Xenopus tropicalis: one gene and its partner. The protein of the gene in region 1 interacts with the protein of each later gene in a pairwise test. Links are inferred from orthologs where the notes say so. Each region holds a gene or a part of one and is shown on either strand. Other genes may lie near its edges. The genes, in order: tmpo and lmnb2.

The links.
Region 2: the proteins of tmpo (region 1) and lmnb2 interact in a two-hybrid assay, tested with the Homo sapiens proteins (2 studies listed by BioGRID, with this or other methods). The link is inferred for Xenopus tropicalis from reciprocal best matches to the Homo sapiens genes TMPO and LMNB2.

What each region holds. Positions count from the first base shown.
Region 1 is NC_030679.2:51,508,518-51,512,955, reverse strand, and holds the start of tmpo (thymopoietin), read right to left. Parts: upstream 3,038-4,438; 5' UTR 2,965-3,037; coding exon 2,740-2,964; intron 1-2,739. UniProt on the Homo sapiens protein: May help direct the assembly of the nuclear lamina and thereby help maintain the structural organization of the nuclear envelope. Possible receptor for attachment of lamin filaments to the inner nuclear membrane.
Region 2 is NC_030677.2:92,888,598-92,892,419, reverse strand, and holds part of lmnb2 (lamin-B2), read left to right. Parts: intron 1-995; coding exon 996-1,132; intron 1,133-2,571; coding exon 2,572-2,728; intron 2,729-3,722; coding exon 3,723-3,822. UniProt on the Homo sapiens protein: Lamins are intermediate filament proteins that assemble into a filamentous meshwork, and which constitute the major components of the nuclear lamina, a fibrous layer on the nucleoplasmic side of the inner nuclear membrane.

The DNA of each region.
Region 1 (4,438 bases):
CTTTTTGAAAATTTTAATTAATATTTGTGATAATTTGTGCAAAGCTATGCAGTCTTTTTTGGGGTTCTGAAAGGGAGCTTAAAGTACAAGCTGATTCAGTAGCACTATTTAATAACAATCTGGCCCCTAAACATGAAAAGAGCAGATAATTCTGTCCAATAAATTAAGATACATTACAAATTAGATTTTATATCATGATTACAACATACAGCTTTTTGATTTATATCAAATGTATGTTTACTATGGCTTTATCACCTTTTTAGCTCTAAAGGTCCCCATACACGGACCAATAGTAGCTGCCGATATCGGTCCCTTGGACCAATTCGGCAGCTAATCGGCCCGTGTATGGGCACTCCCGACGGGCCTGCCCGACCGATATCTGGCCTGAAATCAGCCAGATCTCGATCGGCCAGGTTAGAAAATCTAGTTGGATCGGGGACCACATCGGATCGTTGATGTGGCCCCCGGACTGACTTTGTCTATGCCCGCCATTATAATTCGTTTGTTGGCCCCAGGGCCAAATGATCGAATTACCCTGGATTCTCCCGATATCGCCCACCCGTAGGTGGGGGATATCGGGAGAAGATCTGTTCGCTTGGCGACATCGGGCCAAAAATAATGAGGGTTTTTATAAAGACTGGGCAAATTTGCACCTGGGCAGTAACCTATAGTAAACAATCAGTTATTAGCTTTTTTTCATCCAGCAACAAATTCAGCAATAAAAGCAAATACCTGATTGGTTGCCATGGTTACTGCCCAGGTGCAAATTTGCCCAGTCATTATAAATTACCCCTATTGTGCTTTTGACTGCTGGGTCACCTCCATACTACAGGTCTGAGGCACTGCACCCAGACTATTGGAACAGAGTGGTGAATGGCCATGCGAGCATATTTTTTTTTATGAACAGTTACAGAAGGGCTCGCCTTCAGTGAAGGATCAGGGACAAGGCACTCGGGCCAACCTTGCAAAGTGGTGAGCGTAGTTTTTTTGAAGAGTCTCATTTTAAATTGGTTTTGACAATTTACCAGAAAAAAAAGTACTCAATAGTGGTTGGAGCAGAATATATATTTGTTGTACCCTGTGTAAATGCACATCAAGTTTCAATATGATAAGTGAAGTTTGACTTCACAGTTTTAATACATATTAACCCAGTTTTTCAGTATTCAAACTATCACAACATACAATTATAAGCGAACAAAAAACCCACATTTCTACAAATACGTTTCACATAAGACATTATCAGATCACTAACAACATAAATCCCATGTACCAGGATAAAAGTTTGAAGTACCCCATTCTTTGATAAGCTTATTTGCCTCATTATGGTGCTCAGAACATTGTATACATCTACACTAATGCCAACCATACATGACACTTTACATGAGACTGGCCAGTTTGTCAAAGTATTAGTGTCAGTACTGAGTGCATATTTAAAGAAGTGTCTGGCTTCATTTCGCGATTGTTCTTATCAATAGACATTTGATAAGATCAGGACACTAAACATATATAACTGTTTTATAAGAAACCAGTATGTGCCTGATTATTTAGGCTATGGACGTACATGTCTGACAAGCACCGGACACTGTTAAAACAACCAGAGACATGAGTACCCCTCTGTACATGCCAATGCTATATTGAGTTCCTCTGCCTTTAATATTTCATCCACTGTTTAACTGTTAATAATGAAAGAAAATGCACTTCTTTAAGCACCATATACAGCAACATTTGTTTGTTGATAGTCAGGCTGTTTAGAGTGAAGACACATGGAGCTACTAGTAGCAGCTACTTAAATAGACAATGCTGATCATTTACTGATAATTGTTTCAACATGTGTTTTAGCAGAGGCAATTCTCAGTATAATCCATGGCAGGGGATTTTTTGGCGTTTAGTAGCAGTGAAAAAGTAGCTGCTACTAGTAACTCAGTGTGTCTTCACCCTTATATCCCTTGCAAAACCAACTGTGCCCTCTGAAACAATGTAACAAACTAGGTGATACAGACCTGGGGAACTAGCTTTGGCTACACCGTTTCAAGCCAGATAAAAAATATATATCTTTTTAACTTCCAAGGGTACCGATTATTGATGCGACTAAGGATACCTGGCACAATATTGCAGCAGCGCAGAAATGAGTTGCATATAGAGACAGTGATATAAAGGTTGTCTTAGATAAAGGAAACGCGTTCCAAATCATAACACAGCCACTTCATTTATTAGGATGATGACTTCACGGGAAGGTTTTGGCATAAAAACTACCCGGGTGGAAAAAAGCGGGAAGAATAAAGAGATGTGTGGGCAGTAGGGGGCGCTCGGTCACGGCAGGCGGCGGGAAACCCAATCCGGGGATTCTCATTAGCTTGATTGTAAACTAAACATTACCTCGGCCACAAAATAAAATGGCAATCTGGCCATTTACTCGCCCGAACAAACCCCTCTAAAGTGCAGTCCTTCCTCCCTGCTTGGCGTTACAGCTTCTAACAGCTTGCTGCGAATGATGGGAATAGCGCCCAGCACCTAGCCTGAGACACTTGATAGAAGCCAAACTGTATGCCGGCTAACAGAACTGCGAGCTCCAGCCCCATTTATTTACCAAGAGGCAGCCATTGTGCCTAGCGCACCTGTCCCTCTTGCGGCCCCTGAGGCTTTGGAACAGATTCAGTGATAGAGTTGTACAGGTGATAGAGTTGCAGAAGTGCCAGAGCGGTCACACGGGGCACAATGGGCTTCACTTTAGCTTCTTACCCTTCCCGGGGGGCGGCCTCTGCCTCTCACAGGGGTGGCCTCCCTCTCCTCGTCACTGGAGAAGTCTGGGGTGCTGCGGTTCTGGGAGGTGAGGTGCTGGAGGTACAGTTGCACGTACACATCTTTCCGCTGCTCCCCGCTCGGCAAAGTCACGTTGTTCGCCACCAACTCGCTCTTGAGCTTATCCTTAGTGAGTACTGACGGGTCTTGCAGAAACTCTGGCATGGTGCAGCGCTGCCGTCTCCCCTCAATGTAGAACCCCTATCACGGCGAACACAAAACAATGAGAGGAGCTTCCAATGAACAGGATGAGAGGGGGGAATCAAAACGGAAACAGTCTGCTCAGTGGCAACGGTCGCACTACATTCGACGATGTAGCGCAACAAAGCGCGCCGCCATTGGCTGGCGGACAAACCAAAAGAACAAATCATTGGCTGGGGACTTTCTTTAAAAAACAATCGACAGCGCGGCCTTTCACAGCACAGTGTGAGCTGAGATAGGGTGGGGGGGATTGAGGGCCCGCCTTTATGTGAATGGCTCCGCTAGGTGCTTCCTAAGCACCATTACAACTCGTATAGGCAACTAGCTCATGTTAACGAGCGTTAGGGCAGTGTTTGCCATGTTTTATTTACATGTTTAGAAACATTTATTTCATGTTTAACTTGTTTTTAAAGACCTAGAGGTGGGCGTTGAAAGTACGCTTTCTGTATTTGCTGATGGTACTAAATTCCTATGTAGGATGCTGTCACTTTGCAGGTAGATGTGACAGATTTGGAAAACAGGATCAAAATGGAAAACCAGGTTCAGTGCTGATAAATGCAAAGTTATGCACTTGGTACATAGTGTAGTTGTGTGTTGGTAGATTCTTTATAGAGAAGGTGATTTTTTTAAAGGAGATAAAGTGCTGTCTTGCATTAAAAAGGCATTTACTCAAAGTATTAAACATTATTTTGCCTCTTTATAGGTTTCCTAGGCCATACCTTGAATATGCATGAAAAGGCATTTTATTGGCAATAGATTAGCCACAAGTGTGCAAGCTAGAACACTGTATTTATTCTGCAGAAAGCTACAGTACCTGAGTAAACAGCTCTAGAACCCTAGAACCCCCCTCTGTTTTAGCTTGGTCTTAACTTCTGTGTTGCAGCTTTGGCTGCTGGTAACAGCACAGTTGGAGTGAGAGATAATAGGAGGGGAACAGGAGAAGAGAATAGGAGAAATAAGAAAATTGAGCAGACTCAGGCCGTGGCCTGAAGGATTTTTCTGAGAGAAGGAAGTCTGATACTGAAGAATGTTTGTACACAAAAGTAGAAATTAAATCCTCTGTTTCTTTTGATAGAGGACTCAGTGTAGCTTTTCTGTGGCTGCATTTACATAGACCTTGCTTAATTAGCTGTTGCCTTTCATTCTCCTTAGAGAAGGATATTAATGAGCTGGAGAGAGTGCAAGGATGTGCAACTAAACTGGTAAAAGGGTTGAAAGATTTAAACTATGAGGTTAGACTATCAAGGTAGGATTAGTGTTCTCTGGAAAAAAGGCACTTGCAAGGGGACATGATTACTCTATACAAGTACATTAGAGGGGATTATAGACAGATAGCAAGGGGATCTTTTTTTCCCATAAAAACAATCAATGCACCAGAAGCCACCTGTTATATTAGAGGAACAAAACTTTCATTTGAAGCAGTGTAGGTGGGTTTCAC
Region 2 (3,822 bases), on another chromosome or scaffold:
TTGCTGCGCCGCGTATGCCATCCCACCGGCGATTTACATTCTAGCCGGTGGGATGGCATTTTGGGGAGATTAGTCGCCTGCAACAAGGGAGATTTGTCGTGCAGCGACTAATCTCCCCGTCTGTCACAGCCCTAACAGTTCTCTGTCTTCGCTACATTCCTTAATCTTAAATTGAAGTCCACATGCCGCCCCCCCCCCCTTGCAGCCTAAGTTGATGGAATTTAGATGAAGATAAACATTAAAAGTCAGGCTAAAAAATCAGCAGCAACAACTGACTGAAGCCTAGGAGGAGATGTGGAGAATCGCAGCGTTTTAGAAGTTACTTTTTAATAAAGCATTAAAATAATAAAAGGCACACATACATGCTAAATTACATCAGCCAATATAATCTCAGAATTTTTACATCTACACTTCTTCCTGGTACATCATTTCCTGTCAGGTGATCTCTGATGGTGCACACAGACTATTACAAAATAGTGGCTCAAGGTAAATTATGTAATACAAATATTTACACACACATTTGAGTTTGGTAAGTTTCTGTATATGGGGCTTCCCAACAGCTGCACAGTTGCTATCTGGCTGTTGGCAGGATTGGATTGATTCTTTGGCCCCTGTAAGCAGAACAACAATGAGCTTGTTTTATGCATTCCAAAACAACCTGACAGATAATACAACATTGGAAAAACCGATATCCAAGTGAATTCTAAATATTAAAGTATGGTTTTGTAAAGTACTAGCAAACGCCCAAATAAATGCAGTACATTATCTAAGCAAATCTAATTGTGCCTGGGTACATGCCTTAAAAAAATACATCATTGGATTAAAAATGTAACGTATTCTAGTTTACAGTGAAGATCTAAAAATGAATCGCTTTTCTTCCTTTTTAATTCTGTAGTCTAAATTTTTGACACCTGTAAACATTCTCAAACCTGTGCCTAATAAAAGTTCACTTATCCAAGTGAGTTTCGCAAAGTTTTTAATTTATTATATTTCAGGTTAGTGGCATAAAGAACTTGTACGAATCAGAGCTTGCTGATGCTCGTAAGGTTTTGGATGAAACAGCCAGAGAGAGAGCCCGTTTGCAAATAGAGTTGGGAAAATTCCGATCAGATCTTGATGAGCTCACAAAAAAGTAAGATGGAAAAATACTATGTTATATTATACAATCTGCAATTGGTATTTTTATTTTTTAATTATCATTTTTTCTGCAGCTCAAAATTCAGTTTTATGGCTTACCAATTCAGCATTTAAAATCGGTGCTTACTTCTAATCAGTGCTGAAGAATTTCCTGTTCATAAAATAGCATATTTTGATCCTAGAGTGAGTTTTCTTTTTTCACTTTCTAGGGTTTATCACTATTGCTTATGATCATGTGAACACTTTCTCACTTGATAGTTGCTTTGCATATAGATATTTAATAAAATGAAAGTGGTGTAAAGGTAAGCCTTTATTTTTTATGAAAGGGACAATGCTTTCCTTTGCATTGCCTTGGCTCCTACAGAAACCAGACTTGGGCATTAATAAGCTTCAGCCTTTATTTATTGCTGTCAATGTCGGTAACATTAGCTTAGAAATTGTCTACACTGCATTATGCCTAGTGGTAGATTTGAGAATAGAACCAAGCAGGAAAGGCTTTGTAGTATATGAAAAGAGATGAACTGAGATTGCTGCCACACACCATGAAATCCTAATATAGTTTAAATGTCTGCACTGTCCATATCTTCCTAGTGTCCCATTAGGCTGATGCCACGTGGGGCCTCTGAACGCCTCTGCTGGCATCAGCCCCCTACGTTTGCCTGCACCCGGAAGCGTTGTGTAGGCCCGGGTGCAGGTACATGTAGTGGATATTGGCAAAAAAGTGAGAGTTTGCATTTAGAGCCGATATCTGCTGTGTGCCTGCACCCGGGTAGACACATTGCTTCCAGGTGCAGGTAAGCTGGGATGCTGATGCCAGCAGAAGGGCTGCCAATGTTTTTCCGCAGGCCCAGAATCAGCCCCGTGTTGCATTAAAGTTTGTATTTTAGTGCCAATAGATTGATGCACTATATATTGAAAGCAGATAGGTGTAATTCCTAGGTTAGCCATCATGTTTAAAGTTATAAATCTGTAATTAAAACTTAAAAATATGGTTGCTCATTACTCTGTCTAGCAGAAGAGACCATGTTGACTTTTAGAAAGTAGTGACTGGGGCACATTCAGTAGATACTGAAAAAAAGACTTGTGATTTTGCAGCTGTTTTACAGGCAGTGTTTATACTTTTAATCTTGTATCTCTTGTTCTCTTGATCTCTAATCTCTTGTTCTCAGATGTAAAGTATTAGCCTAGGAAGTTGCCATTTTGCAAACAGTTTGAATTGGCCAGCTGAATCACACAGTTTGAATCAAATTACATAGTTATATAAGATTGTTATATAGCATTCTAATTTCAACATATTAAAGCTCTCTAATCTCTGTATTGACATTAGCAATACACTTTACTAAAGCTTTTACTAAAATTATATGAAGTAATGGCCACATCTGGTATAACGGGTAGATACTGTATTGTTAACAGCTTTCTTCCATACTCCCACAGCTACAAAAAAAAAGATGCTGACCTGTCAACGGCACAGGGGCGTATTAGAGATTTGGAAGCTCTCTTTCACCGTAGTGAGGCAGAACTTGGAACTGCACTGGGTGAGAAGCGCAGTCTGGAGGCAGAGGTAGCAGATCTTCGTGCCCAGCTTTCCAAGGTATGAAGACATTTGTGGACATTTTTGCATGTGGTTAAAACTCACTTACTGAGACCCCACACCCTGCCTGGGATCAGAATGATTACTCTTTTAAGTAGGCATATATTTGCTTTTAATATTTTAGTTATTTGCTAATTTGTTTCATTATTACATTCTCACTTGATTTGATTCTATATAGTTGGGAAAATAGTCTTCAGTTCAACATGCCTTGATTTTGTTTCCCATAACATTTAACATCAATAAAGGTTATACTGACTGCCTGTCTTGGAATAGCCTCTCCTATCCTTCCTGTTGCCTTCACTTAGGGGTACATTCATCAAAGTACGAGTTTGAATCTCGAAATGGGTAAAATTTGGATTAGATACGATAATTTCTGACGATTGGAAATGTCTTCAAAATGCTTACAAAAAATCATAATAGTCACAATAATATCGTATTGGCTGTCCGAAAGTCACAAAATGTTCGTATCTGAATGATAAACAGCGGGAAAACCTTTCTGACTTTGAACCTTCTGTGCATGATTTTGGAAGCCTCCCATAGGACTCAATGGCACTCTGCAGCTCCAACCTGGCCCAAGGAAAGTGACTATACCGAAACTTTAATGAATCCAAAACTTTAATACTTGTTGCGACAAATACGTTTTTGTTGCATAAATTTTGTTGCAAGGTACAAAAAAGTCATGCAAATTAATGAAAAAAACGCAAAAATACGCACAGTTCTATAAATTAGAAAAACTACGTTTTCTGTATTCGGACTCGATCGTACTTTGATAAATGTGCCCCATAGTGTTATAATCCCATTACAAAAAATTAGCAAGGGGATATGGCTTAGCAGGATTTACCACTATTAACCTGGTTAGCTAGTTTTTGCTACAATAAAAGCAAATACGCTTTCTTCAGAGGTTTATCTAGGAAATGAAATTCTATGATGGAAATAATATTTGTCTCTAAACGTTGCATTCAGCTCTTAACTGCTTGTGCATATTTTCTACCAGGCTGAAGATGCCCATGCTGTTGCAAAGAAACAGCTGGAAAAGGAGACCTTAATGAGAGTTGACTTTGAAAATCGCATCCAGAGTTTGCAGGAGGAGATGG